4 linked regions of the Arabidopsis thaliana genome follow. The protein of the gene in region 4 purifies or fractionates together with the protein of the main gene of each other region. This does not show direct contact. Each region holds a gene or a part of one and is shown on either strand. Other genes may lie near its edges. The genes, in order: ALAAT2, SPDS1, AT5G16880 and UBA 2.

What was found.
Region 1: the proteins of UBA 2 (region 4) and ALAAT2 fractionate together in Arabidopsis thaliana (co-fractionation; one large-scale study listed by BioGRID). This does not show direct contact.
Region 2: the proteins of UBA 2 (region 4) and SPDS1 fractionate together in Arabidopsis thaliana (co-fractionation; one large-scale study listed by BioGRID). This does not show direct contact.
Region 3: the proteins of UBA 2 (region 4) and AT5G16880 fractionate together in Arabidopsis thaliana (co-fractionation; one large-scale study listed by BioGRID). This does not show direct contact.

What each region holds. Positions count from the first base shown.
Region 1 is NC_003070.9:27,230,749-27,238,735, forward strand, and holds ALAAT2 (alanine aminotransferase 2), read left to right. Parts: upstream 1-2,726; 5' UTR 2,727-2,888; coding exon 2,889-3,101; intron 3,102-3,364; coding exon 3,365-3,415; intron 3,416-3,518; coding exon 3,519-3,569; intron 3,570-3,686; coding exon 3,687-3,752; intron 3,753-3,830; coding exon 3,831-3,892; intron 3,893-3,981; coding exon 3,982-4,060; intron 4,061-4,150; coding exon 4,151-4,294; intron 4,295-4,349; coding exon 4,350-4,460; intron 4,461-4,530; coding exon 4,531-4,668; intron 4,669-4,741; coding exon 4,742-4,937; intron 4,938-5,016; coding exon 5,017-5,171; intron 5,172-5,256; coding exon 5,257-5,331; intron 5,332-5,415; coding exon 5,416-5,619; intron 5,620-5,706; coding exon 5,707-5,823; 3' UTR 5,824-6,041; downstream 6,042-7,987. Other genes in the region: PUM23 (pumilio 23), read right to left, coding at 56-199, 414-584, 704-1,006, 1,119-1,482, 1,579-1,832; AT1G72340 (NagB/RpiA/CoA transferase-like superfamily protein), read left to right, coding at 6,069-6,554, 6,636-6,788, 6,904-7,045, 7,216-7,457, 7,528-7,734.
Region 2 is NC_003070.9:8,417,549-8,424,276, forward strand, and holds SPDS1 (spermidine synthase), read left to right. Parts: upstream 1-2,861; coding exon 2,862-3,030; intron 3,031-3,123; coding exon 3,124-3,200; intron 3,201-3,291; coding exon 3,292-3,414; exon of another isoform or gene 3,415-4,069; coding exon 4,070-4,174; intron 4,175-4,270; coding exon 4,271-4,343; intron 4,344-4,442; coding exon 4,443-4,514; intron 4,515-4,619; coding exon 4,620-4,815; coding exon of another isoform or gene 4,816-4,819; intron 4,820-4,899; coding exon 4,900-5,023; intron 5,024-5,110; coding exon 5,111-5,176; downstream 5,177-6,728. Other genes in the region: AT1G23810 (Paired amphipathic helix (PAH2) superfamily protein), read left to right, coding at 1-89, 172-453, 555-672, 753-854, 938-1,018; AT1G23830 (uncharacterized protein), read right to left, coding at 5,455-6,492.
Region 3 is NC_003076.8:5,545,074-5,552,009, forward strand, and holds AT5G16880 (Target of Myb protein 1), read left to right. Parts: upstream 1-3,843; 5' UTR 3,844-4,038; exon of another isoform or gene 4,039-4,564; 5' UTR 4,565-4,584; coding exon 4,585-5,103; intron 5,104-5,389; coding exon 5,390-5,653; intron 5,654-5,760; coding exon 5,761-6,201; 3' UTR 6,202-6,436; downstream 6,437-6,936. Other genes in the region: AT5G16860 (Tetratricopeptide repeat (TPR)-like superfamily protein), read left to right, coding at 1-1,313; AT5G16870 (Peptidyl-tRNA hydrolase II (PTH2) family protein), read right to left, coding at 1,902-1,951, 2,323-2,349, 2,517-2,586, 2,845-2,914, 2,993-3,052, 3,166-3,224, 3,296-3,469; AT5G16890 (Exostosin family protein), read left to right, coding at 6,591-6,936. UniProt on the Arabidopsis thaliana protein: Might contribute to the loading of the ESCRT machinery.
Region 4 is NC_003076.8:1,967,649-1,976,488, forward strand, and holds UBA 2 (ubiquitin activating enzyme 2), read left to right. Parts: upstream 1-2,311; 5' UTR 2,312-2,430; intron 2,431-2,581; 5' UTR 2,582-2,590; coding exon 2,591-2,912; intron 2,913-3,253; coding exon 3,254-3,471; intron 3,472-3,664; coding exon 3,665-4,459; intron 4,460-4,668; coding exon 4,669-5,537; intron 5,538-5,618; coding exon 5,619-6,051; intron 6,052-6,137; coding exon 6,138-6,734; 3' UTR 6,735-6,879; downstream 6,880-8,840. Other genes in the region: AT5G06450 (Polynucleotidyl transferase, ribonuclease H-like superfamily protein), read right to left, coding at 221-841; AT5G06470 (Glutaredoxin family protein), read right to left, coding at 7,011-7,730; AT5G06480 (Immunoglobulin E-set superfamily protein), read right to left, coding at 8,571-8,678. UniProt on the Arabidopsis thaliana protein: Activates ubiquitin by first adenylating its C-terminal glycine residue with ATP, and thereafter linking this residue to the side chain of a cysteine residue in E1, yielding a ubiquitin-E1 thioester and free AMP.

The sequences.
Region 1 (7,987 bases), on a different chromosome or scaffold from region 4:
ACCTGGAATGAAATTTTGATGTCACAGAAAAAGATGAAGTGTATGATAAAGATACCTGCTCTTGGTCTCTTGCATGGGAGATTAATGCTTGAATAACAAAATTTGCACACCGATCAACTGAAAGCTCAAATAAAGAATTCTTGAAAACTTTGTTGAACATTTCGTTATACAAACTTTCAGGGGCCACTTCCAAAATAACCTGAAAATGGCATGCAAACGCATTTAAAGAGATGACTAAGAAAATTAACACTCCAATTACAGCATGGAATCAAACAGAGAACTAGCAATCCTTATAGATAATATTTTGCATGGTCTAAAGCAGGCAATACGTCCATCATCAATTGTTTTATGCAAGGTACAGAATCTTGGTATAAACAACTCAGTCAGAGCAGCCAGAGGTTAGACTCAGTTACCTCCACCAGATGACTGAATGAATTATCCTTCATCGACTCTAAAATTTCTTTGGCAACATTAGTCTCTATATGAAACCCTTCTACTTTTTTATTAGTAGAGTTGCAGCGCAGAATAAGCGGAATGATTTCAAGCAACTGCTCATCTTGTTTCAGCATTAGTCTGAGAGCCGTCTGTCAAGAGAAGATTAGTTAGAATCACCGTGAATCAGGGAGAGAGACTAAATAACAGTCAATACTAAAGAAATTGCTTGAAAATGACATAAACGATTAGACAGGGACATAAAACCTACCTGTAAGACCAAACTGCTATACTGATCGACTTGAAGATACTTCATGTCCTCTCTGCTACAACTTAATAGCCCAGATAAAAGGTACGTGAGCATACCTGGAAACCCTTGATGAGGGATTTCTAAATTATTGTCATCTAGCTGAGACATCTTCAGATTCAAACGTTTGGCCAGAGCTTTTGATGATTTTGCGCCATAAAGCTCAGGGGAATCTAAAGAGACTCCTTTGCAAAGACAAAGAAGCCTTCGTAGTACATGCGAACCATAGCAGTTGCACATCATATCAAGAGGATTATCCACAATCACCTGACCAGGGGAAATATTTCACCATCAAAATTGAGGTCAATTACTAGACTAGAAGCAATAATCTGGATACCTTAATATGATTGTCAAAGCCAGTAAAAATTGTATAAAGTACCTTGCATATAGAATGCAAAGCCTCCTCAATAACAGAATAGGCGTCTGGATTTTCTAGATGTGTGGCCAAGGATTTGAGAGCAGACTCTGCGACATGAGAACCAGATCTATCCATTGCAATGGCTGGGAACACACTAGCAGAATTTCGTATGAAACTGCAGAGTTGGTCAAGTTCACATCCCTCAAGTAGAGTTTGCAAGACATGACTTATGATATAGTCTGTAGCAATTTCATACTCCCTCCCTCTTGTTTCTTCAAGGGCATTTCCACATATTACTGAACGTTCCTCTAATTCAACTTCATTACTATCAAAGAGATTGGCAATCTCAGAGAAATACTTTGAAGTCTCTGGATCAATCTCTTTCCTGAAAAAGATACACCCAAATCACTACCACTTCTCACAACAACAAAATTTCGACTATAAATTAGAGCAAAGGCCCTTGGTTAAAAATCTCCTTTACCTGACAAATTGATTCTGATGTTCGAATTCGGAGTGTTTCTTTGATGCTGGCTTTACATTGGGGGCACCACCGGATTGGTTCTTCTTGCTGCTATCTACATCAAATCCACGGTTACCCTTATGGTCCTTCCTACGCATTCCCTTATTCCTTTCACTGTGATTGTTACTAGACTTTCCTCGTTCACCCATCAAGCTATCTTCCTCAATGGTCCTGTGCCTCCTAGATGGCAATGATTTAGAACCAACAGAAACCATGAAAATTCCTAGCCCCAACTATGTTAAACCCTACAAAATTTACACACAAAAAAACTCAGCTTCGAAGAACTATTAGTCCCAAATTACACAATATAACAAAAAAGGGAAAGGTTCAATTTTTTCTCCAAATTTACAGACCCCAAAAATTAGGGTTTCTACCTCTACTTCAAAACGATACCATAACTGGGTTGAATAACCTAAAACATAACAATAAATTCCGAGTCCCAATTCTAAGACTTTACACTAATCCATGTGAAGCTTGTACAAAAGAACAGAAACAATAAGGTGTATCACAAACCTTTGAGGATGCAAAAACACAGTTGACGTTAGAGGAGAAACGAACAAGCGTGAGCTCAGACTAAGAACGCGGCGCAGAGACAAAACGACGTCGTCTCCGAAACTCTTGGTATACGTTGGATCAAAATCTTCGATGTTTTGACGTTGTACAAATTTTCTAATTCCTAGGGTTTTATTCTCGTCCAACCTAATACGATATCGTTTTGTTGACGTGGATATAAACAAATAATGGGCTTTAAATCACGATTTTACCGACCTTTTTAGGGCCCAATTATGTAGCCCAAAAAAAACCTCATCGTTAGCAATGTGCTGCTACATGTTGTTGTGATTTATTTAAATTTAGAGATTTCTAAAAATTTATAACTTTCAAATTAGCTGTAGGTTTTATAAGTATCTATTTATCCCCAAATTAGATTACGACTGTGATTGGATTATTCAATTTTGGTCCTTTTGGATAATTAAGTCAACGGAAGATAGACTTCAGACATCTTTTTTTGATAAAAGACATGTCTTTTTTTGGGATTAGTCGTGTGTTTAACAGATAAATCAACAAAATTAGCCGCCTAAAAAAAACCCCTACAAATATCTTCATCAATTAGATTTTCGAAAAGAAAAAACGAAAAAGCAATTTCTGAGCGTGGAGGACAAGGCAAAATTCGGTGTGCAAGGCACTGGATATTGGGACCCTTGTTTCCTCGTGAGAGAATTTTCAATCCTAGGGCTTAAAGAGCACGTTCCTAGTATAAAGCTGATTCACAGATGCGGAGATTCTTGATTAACCAAGCTAAAGGTCTCGTCGACCATTCTCGTCGTCAACATCACCACAAAAGTCCAAGCTTTCTCTCTCCTCAACCTCGTCCCCTTGCTTCTTCTCCTCCTGCTCTGTCTCGTTTCTTCTCTTCTACTTCGGAGATGTCTGCTTCTGATTCCACTTCTTCTCTTCCCGTTACTCTTGACTCCATCAATCCCAAGGTCGGTTTCTAATTCTCTAGCTGGTTTATTGCGTTTTTGAATTGTGGGTTTCAGGGTTGATCTGGATTTGTTTCTAATTTAGTAAAAAAGTTTCAATTTTTTACTGTGGTTGTCTGATTTAACGCCAAAGGTTTATCCTTTGCTTCTCGTTGTGATTCCCAACGATGAAATCGACAAGCTTTGCATAACTTCTTTGTACTTTATATTACAGAGAAGTTGGTTTTATTGTTAACTAAGAGTTTTTTTTCTTTTCCGGGGAACAGGTTCTGAAATGTGAGTATGCTGTTCGAGGAGAAATTGTCAACATTGCTCAGGTCAGAGATGCATGTGCTTTGTCTTGTAAAACCAAGAACAAAATCTGTAAAATTGTTTTTAATGCTAATTGATTTTTGTTTGCTTTTTGCTTCCATCTTACAGAAGTTACAAGAAGACTTGAAGACTAATAAGGATGCTTATCCCTTTGATGAGGTAAAATCTCTTTCTTTATCGGCAGTTTTGACGGATTTATGATTAGTTTAGTGTTGATGTTACCTGTTCTCAAACTCTTTGTGCAAGGAACTTAGAATTCTTCATTACTTTTGGCAGATAATCTATTGCAACATTGGGAATCCTCAATCTCTTGGTCAGCTGCCTATAAAGTTCTTCCGTGAGGTAAGTGAATGTTTTTGGTACTAGTTTGGTTGTCATATCAGCCACAGAGATATAACGTCTATCATCTATATGCCTCAGGTTCTCGCATTGTGTGACCACGCAAGTCTTTTGGATGAGTCTGAAACCCATGGTTTGTTCAGGTGAGGTTTTCCTTGCTATATTTCAGCTTTAGGACATGTATGCTCACGGTTTAAGATTGCTTAACATTTGATTTCTACTCTGCTATCAGTACCGATTCAATTGACCGAGCATGGAGGATTTTGGACCATATTCCCGGAAGAGCAACTGGGGCTTACAGTCATAGCCAGGTTTGTTATTAGAGTCTAGTTAAAAGTCCTAAACCCTTTCTTGAGATGGTTCTTATGTTGCTGAATGTTTCATTTTTTGTTCTGCCTCAGGGTATCAAGGGTTTACGTGATGTAATTGCAGCTGGAATCGAAGCACGTGATGGTTTCCCTGCTGATCCAAATGATATTTTCTTGACTGATGGTGCAAGTCCAGCGGTAACAATCAAAACGAAAACGTTATCTCATAGAGTTAGAGTAAGTTCTTTTAAAGGATTCATGCTAAGTGTTTTTGGTGTTTTTTACTCTATAGGTTCACATGATGATGCAACTTCTCTTGAGCTCAGAGAAAGATGGTATTCTTTCCCCGATTCCTCAGTATCCATTGTACTCGGCTTCAATTGCCCTTCATGGTGGATCTTTGGTATGTTCATATAATCATCATGGAGTAATGTTGTTTTTTGGTACAAGTTTTTGAAATTTGTACTTCTTAGGTTCCGTACTATCTTGATGAAGCAACAGGATGGGGACTGGAAATATCTGACCTTAAGAAGCAACTAGAGGAAGCTAGGTCCAAGGGCATCTCTGTAAGGGCCTTGGTTGTCATAAACCCCGGTAACCCAACTGGGCAGGTACAAACAGATTTTCAAGACTAGCCTAACAAAATGTAACATTCTTCTAATCTTGCGTTCTTATTCTGGTTAGGTTCTTGCGGAAGAAAACCAGCGTGACATTGTTAATTTCTGCAAGCAAGAGGGTTTGGTTCTTTTAGCTGATGAAGTCTACCAAGAAAATGTTTACGTCCCTGACAAAAAGTTCCATTCTTTCAAGAAAGTGGCTCGGTCTTTGGGCTATGGAGAAAAAGATATCTCGTTAGTCTCGTTCCAATCAGTCTCCAAAGGTAAAAGAACAACTTTTACTGTCCAATGCTTGTCATCTAAAAAATGGGGTTTTTGTTTTTAATATTCTTCTGTTGATAGGATATTATGGAGAATGTGGAAAAAGAGGAGGTTACATGGAGGTTACTGGATTCACTTCTGATGTAAGAGAACAGATATACAAAATGGCTTCTGTGAATCTTTGTTCTAACATCTCTGGTCAAATTCTTGCTAGCCTTGTCATGAGCCCACCCAAGGTAACACCCTAGTTCTCTCTAATCGGTTTTCGCTAAGTTCTTGCAACAGATTATGACTAAAAAGTCTAATATTGTATTTGATCAGCCTGGTGATGACTCATATGACTCATACATGGCAGAAAGAGATGGAATTCTCTCATCCATGGCTAAACGTGCAAAGGTTAGTCGAAGATTACAATACCCTCTAACGACATTTTTCAGTCTCTTTGTATATAATGTCACAAGCTTGAAAATGAACTTGCAGACTTTGGAAGACGCTCTCAACAGTTTAGAAGGTGTTACATGTAACAGAGCCGAAGGAGCAATGTATCTCTTCCCGCGAATTAACCTTCCTCAAAAGGCTATCGAAGCTGCTGAGGCTGAAAAAACTGCACCAGATGCGTTCTACTGCAAACGCCTTCTCAATGCTACTGGTGTAGTTGTAGTCCCTGGTTCTGGCTTTGGACAGGTAAAATATAACCAAATCTTCATAACTTTAAATGTCTTACAAAAGGATCGAACTTGAATAATGGGTTTTGGATTCATTGTGGTTTAGGTTCCTGGAACATGGCACTTTAGATGCACAATACTTCCACAAGAAGACAAGATTCCAGCGATAGTGAATCGTCTGACAGAGTTCCACAAGAGCTTCATGGACGAGTTCCGCAACTAAAAGGACCTGACCATGAAGATGAACTTAAAGACCCTTTTGAAGAAAAGTGTGATCAGTTTGAGTTATTAAAAAAAAGAAAACTTGTGTTTTGAATTTGATCAGGCAATTGTGATCAGCTAATTTAATTTTAGAATATTTTGTACTTCCATTCCATGGCATGTCATATGAAGATATGAAAATTAGTAAATTTATTGGGCTTATAAATGGGCCTTATATTATTAATGGGCCTTATATTTATTTTTCATATGATATTTCTGGAGAAAGCGACAGTATATTATCTTCAATTTTTCCATTTTGAAGAATTTTCTCAAGAAAAAAAAAAATCAATGTGGAGAAGATCACCGTCGTTTATTCTCGACGAGCGACGAAGCTCGAATTCACCTCCAATGGCGGATACAACACGAGGTCCTTTTCAAAACCCTGATTCCATCTCCGCTTATTACCAAACTCGCGCGGCGCATCACGGTGTCATTACAAGCGACTGGCTAGCCCAAGCTCAAGCCGCCGTTGGCGGCGTCTCAGGCGATGCCCAGCATGACTTATCCGTAACTGATCTCGGGAACGAGAAGTCGTTTAATGTAATTGAAGAGTTCAATAACTGGAGAAAACAACCGGATCTGGCTGAAGCCGTCGCGGCTATACGAGCTTTGGCTGCTGTTATTCGTGCGAGCGAAGCGAGCACCATGATGGAGCTTGAAATTGAGCTCAAAAAGGCTTCTGATACACTCAAGGTGAGAATTCATTTTTCACTTTCTGTTCATTCTTCGATTTTGTGGGCTTTGTTGATTTAAGAAATGTTCAAATTTTGGCAGTCGTGGGACAAAACGTCGATCTCTTTGACAGCTGGATGCGATTTGTTTATCAGATACGTTACGAGAACGTCTGCTTTGGAATATGAAGATTTCAATTCAGCTAAGTCTCGTCTTCTTGAACGTGCTGAGAAATTTGGGGAAATATCTTGCAAGGTACTTCCTTTTATGGCTTCTGGCTCATATTTAGTAGTTTTTGTACATATATCAATGAAGTAGATCAATTAGTATTTGATAGAAGAGGGTTTATAAAGGTTTGGTTATTGCGCAGGCTCGTAGGATTATCGCAATGCTTAGTCAAGATTTTATATTCGATGGTTGTACCATATTGGTTCATGGACTCTCTAGAGTTGTTCTGGAAATACTTAAGACTGCTGCACAAAACAACAAGCTCTTTCGAGTTCTCTGCACAGGTTCGCTTAAACAACAAGCTTAGATTGGAACTTGAGTTGTATCCGCTTAATGTTTCTTGGTTTCTCTGAGACATTTTTGTTGCATAGTCTTGACCTTATAAACCCTGTCTCTTTATGATTTTGTTGTATTAGTAGCCTCTCGCTAACTTTTTTTGGTGAAAAAATGATAGAGGGGAGGCCGGATGGAACAGGAGTTCTGTTATCGAGTGAGCTATCGAAGCTCGATATCCCAGTGAAACTACTGCTTGATTCAGCTGTGGCGTATAGTATGGACGAGGTAGACATGGTGTTTGTCGGGGCGGATGGAGTTGTAGAAAGTGGCGGTATTATCAACATGATGGGAACATACCAAATCGCACTTGTGGCACACAGCATGAACAAACCGGTCTATGTTGCTGCTGAGAGTTACAAGGTAATTGAAACGGTTTTATAAGATCCCATAGTAAGAGAGTGGTTAATGATACAAAGTTGTGTATTTGCAGTTCGCTAGGCTTTACCCATTAGACCAAAAGGACATGGCACCGGCGTTGAGACCAATCGAATTTGGTGTAAAGATTCCGACAAAGGTGGAAGTAGAGAGGTCAGCTCGAGACTATACTCCGCCTCAGTACCTAACACTCCTCTTCACTGACCTTGGTGTTCTCTCTCCCTCTGTAGTTAGCGATGAGCTTATTCAACTCTATCTCTAATTTCAACTCCTAATTAATAACTAACTATTTATACTACTTTTGCTTCAGAAGTGAAAACTTCCAATTTTGAGCCTTTTAAGATCTTCAAAGTTCATGTTTTTATCTTAAATATTGAGGTAGTTTTTCTGCTTCGTCTTCCGATTTAGATCAGTTTCCGCCAGTTGGCCCAGTTCTCCGGTAACCAGTTTCCGATCCTGGTATCAACACCGTTAACTTTAAACAATCTTATCTATTGAAGTAGCCATTTATTACT
Region 2 (6,728 bases), on a different chromosome or scaffold from region 4:
GTCAATGCTGTGAAGGTCGCATTGGAGGAAGCGGAACCTGCAAAATATCAAGAGTTTCTAAGACTCTTTCATGAGGTGATAGCGCGAAGGTGTGTTTGGTTTGCTCTTAAACAGTCTAAAGAACAAAGACACATGTGAGAATTGATTCTAATGTTATTTTTATCTTTGTAGGATGGGTATGGCTACTTTCAGTGCACGCATGCAGGACCTCTTGAAAGATCACCCGAGTCTGTGTCTTGGTTTAAATGTCATGCTTGCACCTGAGTATCAGAGAGCCATCCCTCCCGAGGCTAGCGAAGAGTTTCATAAGGTGGTTGGAAGAAGCGTACCACGTCCGGAGCCTACCATAGATGATGCGACTTCATACCTCATTGCTGTGAAGGAAGCATTTCATGATGAACCTGCAAAATATGAGGAAATGCTTAAGCTCTTGAATGATTTTAAAGCTCGCAGGTATGTATTAGTTCTTTTCTCCATGTTATGTTTGATTTTCTCAGTCTACAGAACAAATACATTATGTAAATTGATTCTGATGTTACTAAGTCTCTTTGTAGAGTCAATGCCGCTAGTGTCATTGCTAGGGTGGAGGAACTCATGAAAGATCACTCGAATCTGCTTTTTGGTTTCTGTGTCTTCCTTTCAGCTACAACGAGTTTTACCACGAAGCTTAAGGTATAGAGTGCTTATAGGTACCATTTGATATTTCCTATATGTTCACTTGCGGTTTAAGTAACAAAATTGTCCATATGCAGGCAAAGTTTCAGGGCGATGGTAGTCAAGTAGTTGACTCAGTTCTTCAGATAATGAGAATGTACGGTGAGGGAAACAAGTCCAAACATGATGCGTATCAGGAGGTAGGCTTCTTGGTAGGATACTTTGTGTTGTGTGTTGCACTTTCTTAGTTCTTTGGTTTCATTTGCTTTGTTATCTTTTGCAGATCGTTGCACTTGTTCAGGGTCATGACGATTTAGTCATGGAGCTTTCACAAATTTTCACTGATCCATCTACTAGAGTCTAGAGATGACTAAGGACGGTACTGGAAGGCTTCTAACGAAAAGAGAGTGATTTTAGTTTTCTTTTGCAAACATTTGAGTTTGGTTTGATTAACATGACATTCACAAATATGCTATGCTTCTATGTTGAGGTATATTGTACAATGAATTGGCGTATAAGAGACTAAAAGAGAGTGTATAGTTTCTTTTGTTGAGGTTTCTTTGATATCAAATGTTTTTTCACTAAATAAATATTTCCTCGTTACCAAGAAGACATGAGATTTGGGCCGTGTAGATATTTTTTGGGTCGTGTTTGCATAAGAAACTGAGAGGGGAAACACTAAAAAAACAGAGTTCAGCTAGAAACAAAAACAGAGAGGAAGAGAGCCCAAACTTACGCCTGGCCAAAAAATACAGAGCAAAACAAACAAAGTCAAGTAATTCTAATAACAAATATATTTTCTAATTTAAGTAAACCTTATATGAATTACGAAATTGATAATAAGATTTTATAGAAAAAAATTAAATTCAATATTTATATCTCTAATTTAAATATGTTTTGTATATTTTTTAAAACAAGATTTGGACTAAATTAATACAAATATCTGCATTCTAATCATAAAACTTTCTCATCATATGTCTTTAATTTATAGAAAGCTTTTAAATTTCATTTTCACAGATTTTACCAATTATATACTTTTGCAACTAAAAAAACCAGAAGACTGCAGTGTAAAAGCTAATGCTAAGATTTTACTAATTATCTGCTCAATACAAACACAAATCGATAATAAAGCTCTTTACATACAAACACCGGATTCTACTATCGATGATGCGGATGCGGTTACATACATCAATGCTGTGAAGGAAGCATTTCATGATGAACCTGCCAAGTATGACGTGTTTTTAAAGCTCTTTACTGACGTTCGCGTCCATATATAGATATGAGTTGTTTTCTCTCTTGTTATGTTTGGCATGCTCATCATTTCATAAGTACCAATCCACAGAACAAACACACTACGTGAACTGATCCTGATGTTACTAAGGTCTCTTTTTGTAGAGTGTATGTCGCTAGTGACATTTCTAGAACGAAGGAACTCATCAAAGATCACGAGAATCTGCTTCTTCGTTTAAATGCCTTCCTTTCCAGCTGAGACTCAGAGAGTCCTACATCCCAATATTGAGCAACGGGCTGCATCTGATGATAACAAAAGAAGTTCCTTGTAGACTGACAAAACATAAGCACCTATGTGCTTTGATTGAGCTTTGAACCCACAAGAGCCAAGATTTAGCTAATACTACATATGAACCAATTGCTTCCTCTACTAGGAGCTGTACCAAATCTTATTATCACTGTACAAAGTTTCATATTGTTAAAAACTAATTTACACAAGATTACTTACAACAAATAAAGTTAAAACAAAAATAGATTATAGAGTTTGGAATTGGTAACTAAACCAATTGAGAGAACATGGAAATAACATTCTCTAGTCTAGTCCGTCCATGTTTGGTGGTGGTACAGTATGAGAATTTTGCACGTGAGAAAGCGCGTGTGCTAAAAAGCGAGTGAGCATTAAAGACACGAATAAAAAACCAGACATAAAAAGCCAAAAAGTTTCTCTTTAAAAAACCATTAAAAAGGACCCAAAAGTTAAAGAAACGATATATTCGAGGCAAAAGTAGAATTATCATCACATAATAATTTCGCTACGTTGAAAAAAAAGTGAATAAAAAAATGAAATGATATTTTCAGTTGTACGCTCTTCTCTTCCTTATATCTTCCGCTTCACTTCACACCAAAATCACCACCTCTCACAAACCCTAGTTCCTCCTCTCTCTCATTTCTCGGAGATATTCACCAGAGCAATAACCATGGACGCTAAAGAAACCTCTGCCACCGATTTGAAAAGACCGAGAGAAGAGGATGATAACGGCGGCGCCGCTACCATGGAGACGGAGAACGGAGATCAGAAAAAGGAACCTGCTTGTTTCTCCACTGTTATTCCTGGGTGGTTCTCTGAAATGAGTCCTATGTGGCCAGGTCTTGTTTCCTTCCTCTCTCTCTCTCAAAAAACAAATTCTGGGTTCTTAAATTAAAAAGCTGATTTTTTTTTTCATTGGTTTGATGATGCAGGAGAGGCACACTCATTGAAGGTTGAGAAAGTTTTGTTTCAAGGGAAATCAGATTATCAGGATGTTATTGTTTTCCAGGTAACAAAAATAAGAATCATTTCTCTGTTTTTTCCTAACTTATTTGTCTGTGATTATACTTATAAAGACTTGTTTTTTATGTGTTGGTTAGTCTGCAACATATGGAAAAGTTTTGGTTTTGGATGGAGTAATCCAACTTACGGAGAGAGATGAATGTGCTTATCAGGAAATGATCACTCATCTTCCTTTGTGTTCTATCCCTAACCCTAAGAAGGTATACAATCAATCCTTTTGCTAGATTCTGTGACCTTGATTGTGTTGTGTTGTGGGTAATCAAAAGTTTATAGCTTTGGAATGTAATGAAAGGTCTTTCTTGAAGTTTGCATTTTTCTTCTCCGGTAAAGTAGGATGATGAAATCATTAGTTATGGAGAAATAGAGAAACCAGAGTTCCTTTTATTAGATGTGTATATAGAAACTACTTGAGTTGGCATTAATGATTACATTCCAGGGTGGTGATAGGAATGTCCACTAGAGAAAAGGTTCATGATCACCATTTTTTGCTTTTTATATGTACAAACTTTGATGGCCTCCTGAGAAAAAAAGGTACATAGTCCCATGTTCCCTTCTGGCAAAGTTAGAGAACTCAAGTAACTTTATTGGGTTATAATAATGATTCGGAAGAAACTTATTTCAATGGGCTTAAATGATTAGTCTTTAGCTTGTTATTGGGGGACTTGGTTCAGAAAAGGTTAGATAATCAAGCTTCTTACATTCAGAATTGCTTTTGCTCCCAAGTATCAGAATTGGGTAGTCTAACTATTTTGGGTTATGGTAAAGTGGGTCAGCTAAAAATGCTGTTTTTGCTTTTAGCTAGTAAAGCTATAAGCCAGAGTGTATCTGATCAATGCCTTTCTAGTTCTTCCATAGGTTTTGGTCATTGGAGGAGGAGATGGAGGTGTCCTGCGGGAAGTTGCACGCCATGCTTCTATTGAGCAGATTGACATGTGTGAAATTGATAAAATGGTGGTCGACGTGAGTGGTCACTTACTTTTCACCTTTCCTTCTTCTCTATTTCGATAGATAAATACCTTGTTATCTAATTTGTTTCCACCTACTGGTAATTTTCAGGTGTCTAAGCAATTTTTCCCTGATGTAGCAATTGGATATGAGGATCCTCGCGTGAACCTTGTCATTGGCGATGGTACAATACTGCCGCTTTTTTCTCTCTTTCTGAAACATTATGTAGTTATGTTGAACACATTTTGCCGTTTCAAACTGATCGGTTGGTGAATCGTTGCAGGTGTTGCTTTCTTGAAGAATGCTGCTGAAGGATCATACGATGCAGTTATTGTTGACTCTTCAGATCCAATCGGTAACTACTACAATCAGATGTCATCAGATGTCATCAGAAACAACATTATTCCTTACTGTTATGTTGAACAATACTAAAAAGCAGCCTTTACTTATTGTCTGTCAGGTCCTGCAAAGGAGCTGTTTGAGAAACCCTTCTTCCAATCTGTGGCTAGAGCTCTTCGTCCTGGTGGAGTTGTGTGCACTCAAGCTGAAAGCTTGTGGCTTCACATGGACATCATCGAAGACATTGTTTCCAACTGCCGTGAGATCTTCAAGGGTTCTGTGAACTATGCTTGGACCAGCGTTCCAACATACCCCAGGCATGTTTAATGACCTTTAACATCAATCTCTCTCCTTTTTGGGTGATTATAACTTAACCTGAATCACACTTTTCTTATTTTCAGTGGGGTCATTGGATTTATGCTTTGTTCAACTGAAGGACCTGATGTTGACTTCAAACACCCACTGAACCCAATTGACGAGAGCTCCAGCAAATCAAATGGACCTTTGAAGTTTTACAATGCCGAGGTAAGATAAAAATCTCTCAGTATACCATTTCATGCGGTCTACACACTCGAATCATTAGCTTATGCTCTCATTTCTTGGGGGTTTCAGATTCATTCAGCTGCATTCTGCTTGCCTTCTTTCGCCAAGAAGGTCATTGAGTCAAAAGCCAATTGAAAAGGGAAAGAAAACTAATCTGGAGGATCGTTGAATTTATCAAAAAATAAAAGCTTTTTACAGTTTTTAGAATGTTCTGTTGTTTCACTCATGTTTCTGTAACACAATGCAAGAGCGACTATGTCTTCTTTTAGCATTACACATTCGCATAGTAGCAAATCCTATTTACAACATGTTCTTATGCTTTTGCGTTGAAGCTGAGAAGTCTAATAACCTTTCTGCTTTTATACCATTTATTATAAAGATTCACACTTTGAATTGATCTCAGCCAAAGTCTCTTAAGCAGCAGGAGTTTTAGCTTGTTCTACATCACGCTTTTTTCTCAAAACCATAGTTTTACAATCATGGTAACAGGCAAGACAAGTCACCCATTTAAGTAAATTGCCAACACAAATCAAGCCTACATAGAAGCCAGTGTACATCACTCCATTTCCACTCGCACTGCATTTGGAGTATAAACATGGCATCCTTGTCGCAAGACCGAAGACCAAGAACATTAACATCAACCAGAGGTCACGCTTCTCATGTCCTTTTCTATACCAACCTGAAAGAGACAGAGCATCTCCTCCGTAGATGCCTTGACCATCTTCGTCTTCTTCCAAGACCGAAACAACCAAACCCATGTTCCATCCGGAGCTCCACTTACTATACTTTGCAGTCAGAACTATAAATAGAGTACATTGCATCAGAAGAGTCAGAGGCACTACCACGTTGAATAGACCCGTTGGTTGGTAGTGGAACCCTTTGTATTCGCGTGAGAGATAAGGAATGGATACGTAGTTGGTTGAACCAGAGAGAAACTGAAGAAAAAAGAACAAGAAAAAGAAAAGAAAAACTGAGGTTGACCAAAGGAGGACATAGAGAGATGTGATCAGACAACCTCCTACTCTGTTCTGACATATTTTGATAGATCTCTCTACCAAATAAAGCAGCCCTAACGGCTCTTCCTTGGATGTGTAAACAATCGAAGATGCTGCAACGATCGTGGTGGTGGTAAGAAGGTCAAGAATGGTGTAGGGGAAGAAGTAGAGCAGAAATGTCTGGATCAGCCATGAAATCAGATCATTCTTTTTCTCTGATATGAGAATCAGATCATTTTCCGGCAAGTCTTCTCCCAGAATGAGTAGTTTCCAGAGGAATTGGGAAGTGAGATAGACGGTGGTTTGGAGGGAGAGCTCAAAGAAGATCAAGAAAAAAAACAGTGGGAGAGAGCAGAGGCATAGGAAGAGCAAGAGATTGATGTTACCAAAGAGTAGCTTAAGAGCTCGTTTTAGTAGTTCGATGACACTTAGCTTCTCTTCGCTATTCGTCTCCATTTGTTGATCTCTTTCTCACAATTGAAGTAGAAGAAAAAGGGTAATCACAGATCTGTATGTAAAGTAGAACATATATTAATATATGGTTAGCATCCTTCATTGACTTGTTGACTTATTCTACAAGCCACTGTATGGTAATGTTTGACTAGTAGGGTTTTACTAGAAGTGTCTTCTGATTTGAGAACTATTAAACTTCAATTTGTTATTTCAAGTAGAGAGCAAAAGCTATTGGTGAT
Region 3 (6,936 bases), 3.6 Mb from region 4:
TTGACATGTACGCTAAGTGCAAAAAGGTTGATACTGCACGTGCTATGTTTGATTCACTTTCCCCCAAGGAAAGGGATGTTGTGACTTGGACTGTGATGATAGGTGGATACTCCCAGCACGGGGATGCAAATAAAGCTCTCGAACTTTTATCTGAGATGTTTGAGGAAGATTGCCAAACAAGACCAAATGCTTTTACCATATCATGTGCCCTCGTGGCATGTGCCAGTTTGGCTGCACTAAGAATTGGCAAGCAGATTCATGCTTATGCGTTGCGCAACCAGCAGAATGCAGTACCGCTGTTCGTATCAAACTGTCTAATAGACATGTATGCAAAATGTGGAAGCATCAGTGATGCCCGCCTTGTATTTGACAATATGATGGCGAAAAATGAAGTTACTTGGACATCTCTAATGACGGGTTATGGTATGCATGGTTATGGAGAAGAAGCTCTTGGAATCTTTGATGAAATGAGGAGAATAGGTTTTAAGCTTGATGGTGTTACATTACTTGTTGTATTATATGCTTGTAGTCATTCAGGAATGATTGATCAGGGCATGGAGTATTTCAATAGAATGAAAACTGTTTTTGGGGTTAGTCCTGGTCCGGAGCATTATGCATGTTTGGTTGACTTGTTAGGTCGTGCTGGCCGGTTGAATGCAGCTTTGCGTCTCATTGAAGAAATGCCAATGGAGCCTCCTCCTGTGGTATGGGTTGCTTTTCTCAGTTGCTGCAGAATCCACGGAAAAGTTGAACTCGGGGAGTACGCTGCGGAAAAAATAACAGAATTAGCATCTAATCATGATGGATCATATACATTACTCTCAAATTTGTATGCAAATGCAGGGCGTTGGAAAGATGTGACTAGGATCAGATCATTGATGAGACATAAAGGAGTTAAGAAAAGACCTGGTTGTAGTTGGGTTGAAGGAATTAAAGGAACTACTACGTTCTTCGTGGGTGATAAAACTCATCCACACGCTAAGGAAATATACCAGGTCCTCTTAGATCACATGCAACGCATCAAGGACATTGGTTATGTTCCTGAAACAGGCTTTGCTCTTCATGATGTAGACGATGAAGAGAAAGATGATCTTCTTTTCGAGCATAGTGAGAAGTTAGCTCTTGCATATGGTATTCTAACAACTCCGCAAGGTGCTGCTATCAGGATTACTAAGAATTTACGGGTATGTGGTGATTGCCATACAGCATTCACATACATGTCCAGAATCATTGATCATGATATTATATTGAGGGACTCAAGTCGCTTCCATCATTTCAAAAATGGATCGTGTTCATGCAAAGGTTACTGGTGATGATGCTCTCTCTATGCACTCTACCAAACACGGAAGCAACCTGAGGGTTTTGACATGGCTACAGCAGATTTCAGGAACGATCTAAAGGGACAAAGAAAGGGATAATAAGCACTGTGTTAAACACCTCATGTAGATTATATAATTTAAGCAAATTTTGTAGATGAATAGCTTTCTTCTTTATTTTTGGTAGATAATCACACTCCATACCATGGGTTTATCTTCAATAAACAAGATCTGTTGTTACATTTGAAATGTTCATATAGCCAACACTCCCATGAACTGGCATTAGAACAAGCCATTTTCTCAATGTGCCAAAAAAGGCTCGAGCTTTTGATACTTCTAATACAAATCCAGCAAAAAAAGATGATATCACCATTGGTAGAGGGAAATGCTACATGCCCATGAAAAATGGGGAAAATGTTTTAAAATGAATATTTCGTCATCATCAGGAACGAGTATACGTAACAACTACAGATTTCTCACAGGTAACCTCGGGCGAACAGAGAAGGTGGAGTTCATGTCTCTCCTTTCTGCTTGGTCCATCTGAGAGATCAGGTTGAAGAAATGTCATATCGAAATTCGAATCTGCTAAAGAAGCTTTAGTCCACCTGTTACTTCATCAACAACTTCGACTGGTCCTGCAGAAGTAAAATCTATAAGCGTTGGAATGTTGTGTTAAGAAATGCTGATAATATCCGATAAACAAATTCTGCTACAAGAATCTCTAACTCCTGGTCATAGAACGGTGCATATGAATTTGGATACCACGCAGAAAGTATACACCCTCTTCTGACCGAGTCAACTTTTGAGCTTACATTTCATATTTTGGATTCTTATGAACTATAGATTCCATTCAGGGTCAAGGACAAGCACCAAGCAATCAAGAGAAGTCATGAACTAATAAACTAGTACATTTCTCTAGGGTAAGTGTGATTTGCAACTCTCAAACTCATCACTTGTCCATCAGAGTCTTAACTTTCAAACACATATCTTAAAAATAACAACTTACCAAGAATAGCCATAACCGTCCTTGAATCTGGAAAGAACATGACGTATTATTAGATTCACATTTTCGCAGAAAATGATACTTACGAAAGAAGATTGAATCAAGAGAGCTTTCTCCCTGGCAATTAACTAGCAATCATAAAGTTTAAAGCACCAAGGGATTTCAAGTTCAAGAGGGGAGGAACTTATGAAACTCACTTGGGGCAATCTGTGTTCTTCCAGCATCAATGGTGATATGGGTAGGCAGTTTAAGGGATTTAGCTCTTTCCTGACAATTTTGTGAACAGTCAATACAAGATATAAGAAATGGGAAAAATCAAGATAAGCTCTATGATATCTCAAATTCCCCTTAAGTATTCATGTATATGGTCAGAACTCAGAAATTATCAAGAAACTAACATCTGGCAACTCCTGCAAAGCCCGTGAAGATCAATTTGGCAACAGCACTAAAGCTGTGAATCCAAAATATAGTTCAATAAAAAAAATCCACTTTACAGTCTACTACAATTTGTTTTAGTAAACTCACTTGCAATTCTAGCATCTCGTCCTCGTCCTCGATTTTCACAACAACTTTTGGCTGTGCACATTCCTCCCAGCTGCAATAGCAACCTATACTGTTAATTCAATCCATATATTAAGTAACAAATGGAATTGATCATGACTTAGAGGCATACCAGTCCAATGCTTTTGGCGCTCGACGAACAAGCTTCTTGTATAATCCTAAAGTTGCATGACTGCAGAAATGCAGACCAATAAAACGAATCAGAATAAGAACACTCAAATGTAAGAATGATAAACATGAATTAAACACTTAAAATAGTAAAAGAGAGCATGATTAGTTTATCACCTGCATTGAGCTGCAATCTTTCCTTTACCCATTTTAAGATCATTTCTCACCACCAAAACCTGAGTATACAAAACTCAATTCAACAATTTTGTGATTCCATAACAGTAGAGAGAAAAATGTAGCTAACTACCATCTTGAAATCATCGAGAATATCAGCGAGTTTCTCAATCTCGAGTGGACTTTTGGAGGATTGAGTTTTGATATCCTTATCAACAGCAGCAACAACAGGTTTGGAACGGCGAGTGCCAATGCAGTATCCAAGTGCAGCTCCAACAATTAGGGCACTTAACCACGTCAAATCCATTGGCAAGATTCAAATACTTAAATCCTACAGACAACAAAATGATTGAATTTGAGTATCTAAAATTGAATTACCTCAACGTAATCTAGCTCAAGTTTCTACAGTAGAAAGGGAACAATTAAGATTCTCATCAATGGTCTAAAGAAGAGAATCGAAGAAAGCTTACGAGTTCGAGAGAGAGAAACGGCTCCGATGATGAAGTTTTTTTTCCTGAAACCGGCGTGAAGATTTTACTGGCAAGAAAAAAAAAAAAAAACATTTAATGATCGATTATTTTTTGGTTCGTTGGATGAAATTGCGTAACGTGATTGGTTGATATGAAAAAAATAAAAATAAAAAAGCATATCTTTTTGAAAATAATGTTTAGCGTAAAGGAAGGGAAACATAGTCAGGATAAAGTAATTCCCACGACCAAACACTTAAAAAAGGAACGCAGTTTTCTTCTTCTTCAGGATTTGTACGGCGTCAACGGGCATTGACCTTGTCGCAGATTTTCCTCTCTAGTCTCCGTCTTCTATTACCAGATCGAGCTTTGTTCTTCGAGCTTCTCATCTCTTTGTTCAATCTCAAAGGTAGAAATTCGCGTTAATTTACTTGTGATTTCGCTGTTTTTTGGTTACTGTTTCCGTGTTGATCGATCTAGTTCTGGGTTTTTCGATCATATGAAATGTTATTTTCCTTATTAGGGTTTTTGTTGACCAAAACGAATTTTTCTATTTTCTTTCGAATTTTGATCTTCGAATATCGAATTCGGTTTTTCTCAGCAAACCCTAATTACATTCATCCGTAAAAAACTGTTTAATTTCTGGTTAAACCAGTTTCCTTGAGCAAATTTTGTTGGATCGAGAAGAATATTTGTATGATCGAAGAGATCGTATCTGAAAACCTGGTTTAACCGGGTTTGAACCTTTTTGTGTATTTGATTTTGTATGAATCTCTGCAGAATTCGTAGGTGTATATTATTGATTGTTAGTATTTCCTTTCGTGCTCGTTATTGTTTAGTATCATTGAAGGATACTTGAACAAGTTGATGTTTCAGCTGCTTTCTGGTTTGTTCTGTATGTACAATTCCAGGTTCTTGCTGTTTTTCATTTACAGGTTTTTGAGTATCAGCAAAGATGGGTGACAATCTTATGGACAAAGTTACCGCATTTGGTGAGCGCCTGAAGATCGGAGGTTCGGAAGTGAGCAACAAGATCAGTGCTGGTGTGAGCTCAATGAGCTTTAAAGTGAAGGAACTTTTTCAAGGTCCAAACCCAACTGATAAAATAGTCGAAGATGCTACTACTGAGAATCTAGAGGAACCTGACTGGGATATGAATTTGGAAATTTGTGATATGATAAATCAAGAGACAATTAATAGCGTTGAGTTGATCCGTGGTATAAAGAAGAGGATTATGATGAAGCAGCCGAGGATTCAGTACCTTGCCTTGGTTTTGCTCGAGACGTGTGTTAAGAACTGTGAGAAGGCGTTTTCAGAGGTGGCAGCAGAGAGAGTCCTTGATGAAATGGTAAAGCTGATTGATGATCCACAAACAGTTGTTAATAACCGAAACAAAGCTTTGATGCTGATTGAAGCTTGGGGAGAATCAACCAGTGAACTTCGCTACCTACCAGTTTTCGAAGAAACTTATAAGGTAACTATGACCTGGTACCAAATAATTTTACGCTATTAAATTCAACAATACAGTTTCATTTACAATACTTTATTGAAGATACCACTATCTTATGTTGAGTTGAACTGTTTTGGCCAAAGCATATGGGTTTTGAACAAAACAGACAAATGACTATTGTTTCAATGAATTGGCTCAATCGACTAGCTTGTTGCAGGAATTGATTGAAAAATGAAAAGCTGTGAGGTCTGATGTCAGAATTCATTATGATTAGGTCTTTAATGTTTTTATATTTTTTCCTATACTATAGAGCTTAAAAGCAAGAGGTATTCGCTTCCCTGGACGAGACAACGAAAGCTTGGCACCTATTTTCACTCCTGCTCGGTCAACTCCAGCACCAGAACTGAATGCTGATCTTCCTCAGCATGTGCATGAACCTGCACATATCCAGTATGATGTGCCTGTAAGAAGCTTTACTGCTGAGCAGACAAAGGAAGCTTTTGATATAGCAAGAAACAGCATTGAACTTCTTTCCACGGTTCTGTCCTCCTCGCCTCAACATGATGCTTTACAGGTAAATTGACTCGGAATTATTAGGCATCATTTCCTGTAATTCTAATGTAATAATGGATATAACATGGGATATCGGCGATATATTTTCATTATCTCTCTGATTTGCAGGATGACTTAACAACGACACTTGTACAACAATGTCGTCAATCTCAAACCACTGTCCAAAGAATCATTGAAACAGCAGGTGAAAACGAAGCCCTTCTTTTCGAAGCCTTGAATGTGAACGACGAGCTAGTGAAAACGCTGTCTAAGTATGAGGAGATGAACAAACCCTCTGCACCGCTAACCTCACATGAACCAGCCATGATTCCCGTTGCTGAAGAGCCCGATGACTCTCCAATTCATGGAAGAGAAGAATCTCTGGTTAGAAAATCTTCTGGTGTTCGAGGTGGATTCCATGGAGGGGGTGGTAGTGGAGATGACATGATGGATGATCTTGATGAGATGATATTCGGTAAGAAAAACGGCTGTGATTCTTCGACTAATCCAGATCATGACCCAAAAAAGGAGCAGTCCTCATCCAAAAACGACGATCTCATTCGATTCTGAGACGGATACTTTCAGGCGACATAATAAATCTTTTATAATGTATTTGGTGTTTAATTGGTAGTATGAATGAACAGGTTCAATGTAAGTAATCTGTGTTTGGAGATCTCTTTGACTTGTGTGATGGTTTATAAAGGAGATTTGTTATGATGGCACATGAGATTTGAAATACATTCTATTCTAGTTTCTGCTATCAAACACATTTTGACATCTATCCAATTGCTATCGTGCACATTTGAACACAAACTTTGTTTCAATTTAGCGTTTACAGTCGCAGACGCAATCGCGGTTAAGTGAAGCGCATCGTCACTTTCCACATTCATAGTAATATGCAACAACTGAGTAACAGAAATTTGTAATCGAACTCAGATTTCGAAGAAGCAGATCTCACAATGTCTGGAAAACAGCAAAATCATCGTTCTACTTCCTCCAGACCCAGATCCAAAACCCTAATCCTCATCGGCTCTCTCTTCACCGTCTCTCTACTCGTCATCCTCTACACCTCTTCTTCCTCCTCCCGAGCCTCCATCTCCAATCCCAACCCGTCGGACCGACCAGAGACGTCCTTCGTTACCTCGCTTGAGCATTTCTTAATATATAAAGCTCCGAAGCTCTCGTTACCGGTTAGAGACGACACGGTGCGTGGCGAGAGTGATGATGATGTGAGGAAGCTCGATGAGATGGTGTTCGAGAGAGAGAATCGTTGGTTGAACGAAGATCCGGGATATCCTGTTGAAT
Region 4 (8,840 bases):
CACAAAATCTCAGTTATATCAGAAAAAGCAGAACCAACATATAGTTTGTTTCATACACAATGTCGAACGTTAAAGAATCTGAAACTGTTCACTTTTTGTTTAGTGATTGTTGATTGTCACATCAAACAACTTACAAAGGATCACTTTGATTCAGGTACAAAGTCATTTCCATCAAAAGAACCAAAAAAAAAAAGAAGCAATCACAGAGATAAGTAGTAAATCACTCATCGGACAATTGATCCCAAACATTGACGATGAGCCACCCTTCAATGGCTGCAGCCTCAAGTTGTTCTTCAGGACCTGCCTTCTCCCATTTGGCCTCAATCGAATCCAGCTGGCCCAAATCAGACCACAATACTCTGTGCGCTAATTCTCTTGTCCCAAGAAACTCAAGCACCAGAGTTCCACGAGCTTCCGCAGCCAATTTCCCAACGTTAATCGCGTTTCTTATCACGAGACCGTGGTTTTCTCTAAGCAAGTCCAGGTCTTCCTCGATCTGCACTCCAACAAAAGTGACAAACTTGGAAGCAAAGAAACGGTACAGATCCTTGAGATTGTCATGAAAAGGTTTAGGAAGTCGAAGGAAGAGACATAAGTTTCTAGTGCTCAGCTTCACCGATGACAGACTCCACCCTGACGTTTTGGTTTTGGTTTCAGTTTCAGGAAACCCCACATCCCAGTACACATCGAAGATCACCGCTCGGTTTCCATTCAAGATAGAATCTTCTCTTATAAGTGAAAGGTATGGAGAGATATCTGTTGATGATCCAACATCAATGGTCTTAGTCTGAACATAGGAGCCATCAGTCATCTTGAACTTTGGCCCATCAAAGGAGGCCATGTGATGAAAAAACACTAAAGAATATTCACAAATCAAATTAGATTCAACGATAACTGACAAAGTTGTAGCTAAACTTATCTCAATACTAATAGAAGTGGAAAGTAAGATAGTGAATCCAATCATCACTCATATAACTTGAGCACCAATAAGGTTTCCTCTTTTTTATAAAAAACTACAAGTATTCATGAGTTGGAAACTTGGAGAAATTGGGTGAAGAAAGGACCACACATTGAATAAACAATGATCTAGCATCGAATTGATCAAAGTAGAGGTAAACAAACTTTTTTTTTAGTTTTGGCTACAAATACCATTGATCACTCCCCCTAGTTCTAGGTTTCATGACCTTTCTGTGCATCAAAAGATAACAAGAAAGAAGCGAAACTTTTTGTTCTATATCTCTTAGACTAATTAACTAATGGAGAAACAAAAACATTTGATTCTATCTTAGTTCTTGTAACCCAAAACGATCGATCCGAGAGATAAAATCCCCTAACTATCATCTGAAATTGGAATCATACTAGTCAAATTCAACTTAAAAGAGACATTAACTGATGAGAAGTTAAGAGGAGGACGAACCTTGAAATTTCGCGTCCGGTTAGGGATCGTAGTAAGCGAGGAACAGTTCTTCTGGTTTCTGCTGGAAGAGAGAAGACTAAATCCCCGCGAGGGAAGAAGAAATCACGAAATGGAGACACATTTCCTCAGCTTGCTTAACCAACCATACGTTAGTAATTTAAGCTGACCAATCCGGTTCAACCGAAATTCTATGTCTTTTGAATGTTTTTCTTGACTTTTTTTTTTAAGGGGTCCTTGTCAATCTTTGTTACCAACGCCAATTCACACAAGAAATATAATGTGAGACATTTTTCATCGTTATCATACAACCGTGAATATACTTGTCAAGCAATGTTGGTCAAATTCTCAAGATACAAGAGTTTTTTTTCACGCTAATGTAGTCACACTACAAATCCATTAATATTATTTTTTTCGTTTAGAAATCACACATAAAACATAGATTGTGTTTGTTGGTATAAGTGATAGAGAGAGCATCCCCATATCATTTTCCAAACACAAATGCTCACACCAAAATGGTTGAGTTCATAAGGTACATTTCCACACATTATGCTTAAGTTTCACTCTTATTACACTTCTTTGAAATGTCTATTAATCTTTAGGAATTAGCAAGTACGACACACATTCAAATATCCAACAACTACTCTCTCTTTATCAATCAACAAATAAAAAACAAAACTTGATTGATTAACAATTTCAAAGTTTAAATTCAATCACACCTAACCTGAATTAAAATTTGGTCTATTGCATACTCAAATCCGGTTCAATGTTACAAGACCAAAACCAGATATTTATCTTAAACTGGTCCACTTGAAAAAACGAAAAAACTTACCACACAACACAGGCTGATTCTGAATTCAGCACAAATAGTTTCAAAGCCCAACAATCATCGCCCAATTTTTGTTATATACCGCCGCTTCTTTCTACACAACCTACAAAGCCAAAAGCTTAGTATACTCTCTCTTTCTACTTTAACAACAAATTCGCCGCTTATCGCCTCCGATCTTCTCTCAAAGGTACGGTTTCGTTTTCATTTCCTCCGATTCTCGTTTCTTCTTCAGATTCCTTCATCGATTAGCTCTAGGAACCTTCTCATCGGAATTCATTTATTGTCTTTGTTTGTTATTCGAAGCTTCTTCTGTTTATTTGATACATATTCTCTTTCAGTTACTCTATATGGAACCATTCGTTGTTAAGGAGAACATCATCGCATCTGCTTCTTCGCCGATGAAGAAGCGACGGATCGATCACACTGAGTCAGCTGATGGTTCTGCGATTAACGCTTCTAACTCCAGTAGCATCGGTTTGAACAACAGCATCGGTGGTAACGATACGGTGATGAGCATGGCGGAGTTTGGTAACGACAACTCCAACAATCAGGAGATCGATGAAGATCTTCATAGCAGACAGCTCGCCGTTTACGGCCGTGAGACTATGAGGAAGCTTTTCGCTTCCAACGTTCTCATCTCTGGGATGCAGGGCCTTGGTGTTGAGATTGGTAACGATTTTTGTACTTTTCGTTGTTAATTTCTGCTTGCATGTTATTCCTGTGCTTGTCCTGCTGGTTGTTAAAGAGCTTCAAGCTTGAGCAAACGTATTTCGTGATTAAGCTGTTTTGATGTTGTGTGTACATTTGGGCACTTGAAGTTGAGATTGTAAAATTGGTATATTAACTTGTTAATCCTGATTTTCTAATGAGTTAGTGACACATTATATAATGGAAGGATTATTCAATATTCACTATAGATTTGTAATGAACTAATGACTGGTATAGCTCTTTATTCTCTTCGTTATTTCCTTCTTTCTGATGGATGATTTTTTTTTTTTTTTCTTATTTAGCCAAGAATATTATTCTAGCTGGTGTGAAGTCAGTGACCCTTCACGATGAAAATGTGGTTGAGCTATGGGACCTATCTAGTAACTTTGTTTTCACGGAGGAGGACATTGGTAAGAATAGAGCACTTGCTTCTGTTCACAAGTTGCAAGAACTCAACAATGCTGTGGCTGTCTCAACTTTGACTGGGAAGTTAACCAAAGAGCAGCTTTCTGATTTCCAGGTATCCAAACCCTTCCTTTATTTGGTTTGTCTTTGCTTCCTTGTTCTAGTTGTTAATAATACTATCATGATTCATGGACATAATTATCTGTAAAAGAGATTAGAGGTGACTGAACGTGGATGAAAACGTTTCTACTAAAAGTACAGAATGTTTGGCTTTAGTGGTTGATTTCTTTTTTTTTTCCTTGATGCAGGTTGTGGTATTTGTGGATATCTCTTTTGAGAAAGCGACAGAGATTGATGATTATTGTCACAGTCATCAGCCTCCTATTGCATTCATCAAGGCTGATGTTAGGGGGCTGTTTGGGTCTTTGTTTTGTGATTTTGGACCTCATTTTACTGTTCTTGATGTTGATGGGGAGGAACCTCACTCTGGCATCATCGCTTCTGTTAGCAATGAAAATCCTGGATTTGTTTCGTGTGTCGATGATGAGAGGCTCGAGTTTGAAGATGGAAATTTGGTTGTTTTCTCTGAAGTTGAGGGAATGACAGAGCTAAATGATGGAAAACCAAGGAAGATAAAAAATGTCAAGCCATTTTCATTTACCCTGGAGGAAGACACCTCTAGCTATGGGCAATATATGAAGGGTGGCATTGTGACTCAGGTTAAACAACCAAAGGTGTTGAACTTTAAACCTCTTAGAGAAGCACTTAAAGATCCAGGCGACTTTCTTCTAAGTGACTTTTCAAAGTTTGACCGACCACCTCTTCTCCACTTAGCATTCCAAGCACTTGATAGGTTTTCGTCTCAAGCAGGCCGATTTCCGTTTGCTGGTTCAGAAGAAGATGCTCAGAAACTAGTGGAAATTGCAGTTGACATTAATGAGGGTTTGGGTGATGCAAGGTTGGAAGATGTCAACTCTAAACTGTTGCGGCATTTGGCCTTTGGATCCAGGGCTGTTCTGAATCCTATGGCTGCAATGTTTGGTGGCATTGTTGGGCAGGAGGTTGTCAAGGCATGCTCTGGGAAATTCCATCCTATCTTTCAGGTAAAGACTTTTCTGTTTGGTTTTTCAGGGGCTCATCTGTTCGGTCTTTGTATGTTAAACTTCTACTTGTTGAGCAATGCTGTTCATCTATGTTATACAGGCATTTACTCTACATGAGTCCTATACCAGGACTAAAGTTTCTCTTCCCTTGTTAGTAGTATTTCTTTTATACTTGGTAATGTGGTAATTAGTTTGCATTATTTGTGCAGTTCTTTTACTTTGATTCGGTGGAGTCACTCCCCAAGGAACCTCTTGATGCATCAGAGTTTAGACCACAAAATAGCCGTTACGATGCACAGATCTCTGTATTTGGGTCTACTCTTCAGAAGAAACTCGAGGATGCCAGAGTTTTTGTTGTAGGGGCTGGTGCTCTTGGATGCGAGTTCTTAAAGAACTTGGCTTTGATGGGTGTGTCATGTGGCACCCAAGGGAAGCTAACTGTCACCGATGATGATGTAATTGAGAAGAGCAACCTGAGTCGTCAGTTTCTTTTTCGAGATTGGAACATAGGACAGGCTAAATCCACAGTTGCCGCAACAGCAGCAGCTGGAATAAATTCTCGCCTCAACATTGATGCTCTGCAAAATCGTGTTGGACCTGAGACCGAGAATGTCTTTGACGACAGCTTCTGGGAGAATTTGACAGTTGTGGTGAACGCTTTGGACAATGTCACTGCAAGGCTTTATGTTGATTCAAGGTGTGTGTATTTCCAGAAGCCTCTCCTCGAGTCAGGAACCCTAGGTGCAAAGTGCAACACACAGATGGTTATCCCTCACCTCACTGAGAACTATGGTGCCTCGAGAGACCCACCAGAGAAACAGGCTCCAATGTGCACCGTGCACTCATTTCCTCACAACATTGATCATTGCTTAACATGGGCTCGCTCTGAATTTGAGGGTTTGCTTGAGAAAACACCAGCTGAAGTTAATGCATACCTCTCAGATCCTGTTGAATACATGAAAGCGATGAGAACTGCTGGTGATGCCCAAGCAAGGGATACTTTGGGACGTGTTGTTGAGTGCCTCGAGAAAGAAAAGTGCAATTCATTCCAGGATTGCATAACCTGGGCTCGTCTGAGGTACTCTCTGTTGGCCCACACCCTTCATTGAGACTATATGTAAAATGATTTTCTTCTCTTTACATAATTGCTTGCTTACAGGTTTGAGGACTACTTCGCCAACCGTGTGAAGCAGTTATGTTACACATTTCCTGAGGATGCTGCTACTAGTACAGGAGCTCCGTTCTGGTCTGCCCCAAAGAGATTTCCTCGCCCACTCCAATTCTCCTCAACCGACCTGAGCCATATCAACTTTGTCATGGCTGCATCTATCTTGCGAGCAGAGACATTCGGAATCCCTACTCCTGAGTGGGCTAAAACCCGAGCAGGACTAGCCGAGGCTGTGGAAAGAGTAATTGTCCCCGACTTTGAGCCGAAGAAAGATGCAACTATTGTGACAGATGAGAAGGCTACAACTTTGTCTACAGCTTCAGTCGATGATGCAGCAGTAATCGATGAACTAAACGCAAAACTAGTGCGGTGCAGGATGAGCTTGCAGCCAGAGTTCAGGATGAAGGCAATCCAGTTTGAAAAGGTGAATCATAAATGTATCCAAGTATCTTTCAGATTCTGTATTTGAATTATAAGAGCAACAAACTAACATTATTTTGCTGTTCTTAGGACGATGATACCAACTACCACATGGATATGATCGCTGGGCTAGCCAACATGAGAGCAAGGAACTACAGTGTTCCCGAGGTGGACAAGCTTAAAGCCAAGTTCATAGCCGGAAGAATCATACCCGCGATTGCGACATCAACTGCAATGGCAACAGGTTTTGTTTGCCTTGAGATGTACAAGGTCTTAGACGGGTCACACAAAGTAGAAGACTACAGAAACACATTTGCTAACTTAGCACTTCCGCTCTTCTCCATGGCTGAGCCGGTTCCACCTAAAGTGGTGAAGCACCAAGACCAAAGCTGGACTGTTTGGGACCGGTGGGTGATGAGGGGAAACCCGACCCTAAGGGAGTTGCTAGACTGGCTAAAAGAGAAAGGGCTAAACGCATACAGCATATCTTGCGGAAGCAGTTTACTGTACAACAGTATGTTCTCAAGGCATAAAGAGAGGATGAACAGAAGAGTGGTGGATCTTGCAAGAGACGTGGCTGGGGTTGAATTGCCTGCTTATAGACGTCACGTGGATGTTGTAGTCGCTTGTGAAGATGATAATGATGCTGACGTTGATATCCCTCTCGTATCAGTCTACTTCGCCTGATTAGAGAATTTTAATTAACGTCCCCAACGAGAGAAGCTTTTAATAATTACTGTATTCTTGGGATATGAAGTTGAGTTTCAGAGATAGAGAGAGTTTTGATGTATGAGAATAGAGTTAACTTCTTAAAATTTAGAACTAAATTTTCAAATTTGGTGTTTTTCACTTATTCATTACAAACATAATACGATTAAACAATCCTAATACAAAACGTTTTTCTCACACATCATTTACTACAAAGTTAAAAATCAGATAGTTATTATTAGCTTATAACAGCAACTACGTACAAAGAGGACATTTCACAAGTCCATTCTCATTACATTCTCTGCATCTTGTCCACATATTATCATTACTACTCTCTTCATCGTGATGCTCTGCAAGCAATCTTGTGCTTCCATTGCAGCTAGAACATATCAAAAACCTTTCGTTCTCGCAAGACTCGCAAGGTGAATCAACCTGTGAGATTCCTTGTAGTAGCTTCTTCAGCTTCCCGTTCTCGTTCAATGCCACAACTTCTTCTGCTCCACCAATGTACCTACCTCTAATGAACAGCCTCGGAGAGGTAACTTTCCCACCAAGCAACCTCCACATCTCTTCTCTAAACTCTGAATCCATGGAAACGTCTCTCTCTCTATACATCACCTGGTGATTCTCCAACAAGAATCTCACTCTTCTGCAAGCTTCAAATGTTTTCCTCACACTTCGCAGGCCCGTCGTGTAGAATACAACCGAATCTTCTCCTCCGGGTGGGCAATTCTCTTTAAACTCCAGAAGAATCCCTCTTTCTTCTTCAAGATTATGTTCCTCTGCATCCTCAAGCTCTAGTAGTGTTGGTGTAACACAACCTTTGCTTTGACCAGATTCAGCGACTATTTCGTCTCTTAGATGATGGATTGTGCGATCAATGGTACTCTTATGAAGAGTTAAGCTTTGCTTCAACGTCTTGACAGTGGTGATGAGTTTGATTTTCTTCACCAATCTTTCCTTCATTCCCTTCATTGCTAACAAAACTTGGATCTTTCAAAAATCTGAAAAGAGGATTTAGAGAAGAATTCTGATCAAGATAAGATCGGGTACGAGAACAAAAACAAAACAAAACTTAGTGGCTAATGGGTTCTTCGTTTTCAGGTTTCTTCTTTGGTTAACGTGTGGGTACCCAATTTTGATGAATAAAGTTTCAAAAGCTACTTTCTGGTTTAGCTTTCAAAAGTCTTTCTTGATGGGTTTTCATCAGAATGAAAAAAGAAAGAAAAAAAGTCTTTGTTTTTTTTTTGTGTTGATGGGTCATTGCTACAATAATGTAAGATGTGATGATAAAACTCACACCTCAATTACAGAAGACAAAAGACACTCATGACATGAGTAATGATTTTACCCAATCAACCCAATTTTGCCAGAAGGCTAAAAACAAAAAAGGAAGATGTTATAATGGAGCTTTAAGAAATATAAATCTTTCTGGTAAGAGTCATCAATTGATTTAGCCTGTCTTGTCTTTTACAATTCCAGAAACGTGCAATGATGTAAGATTGGTAAAGAAGCTTAGCTTTAGCTAGCTTGCAAATTCGAATTAGTCAAAATTTTCTATTTAATCATATACTTTACTCTGATTACTTTTTCGCATTACATATGATGGTTGAGACCTTGTCAGTTATACCGTTCCAAGCATTTGACTGATTGCCATAAGACCTGGTGATACATCTTATGGTGAAGAAAGCACATTCACATTGGTGTCCAAAAAATAAGATCACCTTCACATTCAGGGTCTGACATAACTGATATAGAAAGAATTAACAATTTTCCTAAACTATCTATACAATCACCAATACAGGTGAAGCTGCTCTAAATGTCAGCCACAGATGCTCTGAGTCCAATGTCGAACGAGAATTTGATGCATGTTAACTCCTTCTTCTTTGCATCAAGCATCTTCATTTTCAGCAAGTATGAACCCTGCACAAGAAAGGTAAGATTAGAATCTGTTATCTTCCTGTTTTTGTACCAGATTTTCGACAGTAATATGCAACATTAAGACATTCAACCTAAGCCATCTTATATCTCTCGATACAAAGGTAATCCTTATATATATATTGGCCATCCATTATGAATGCAACA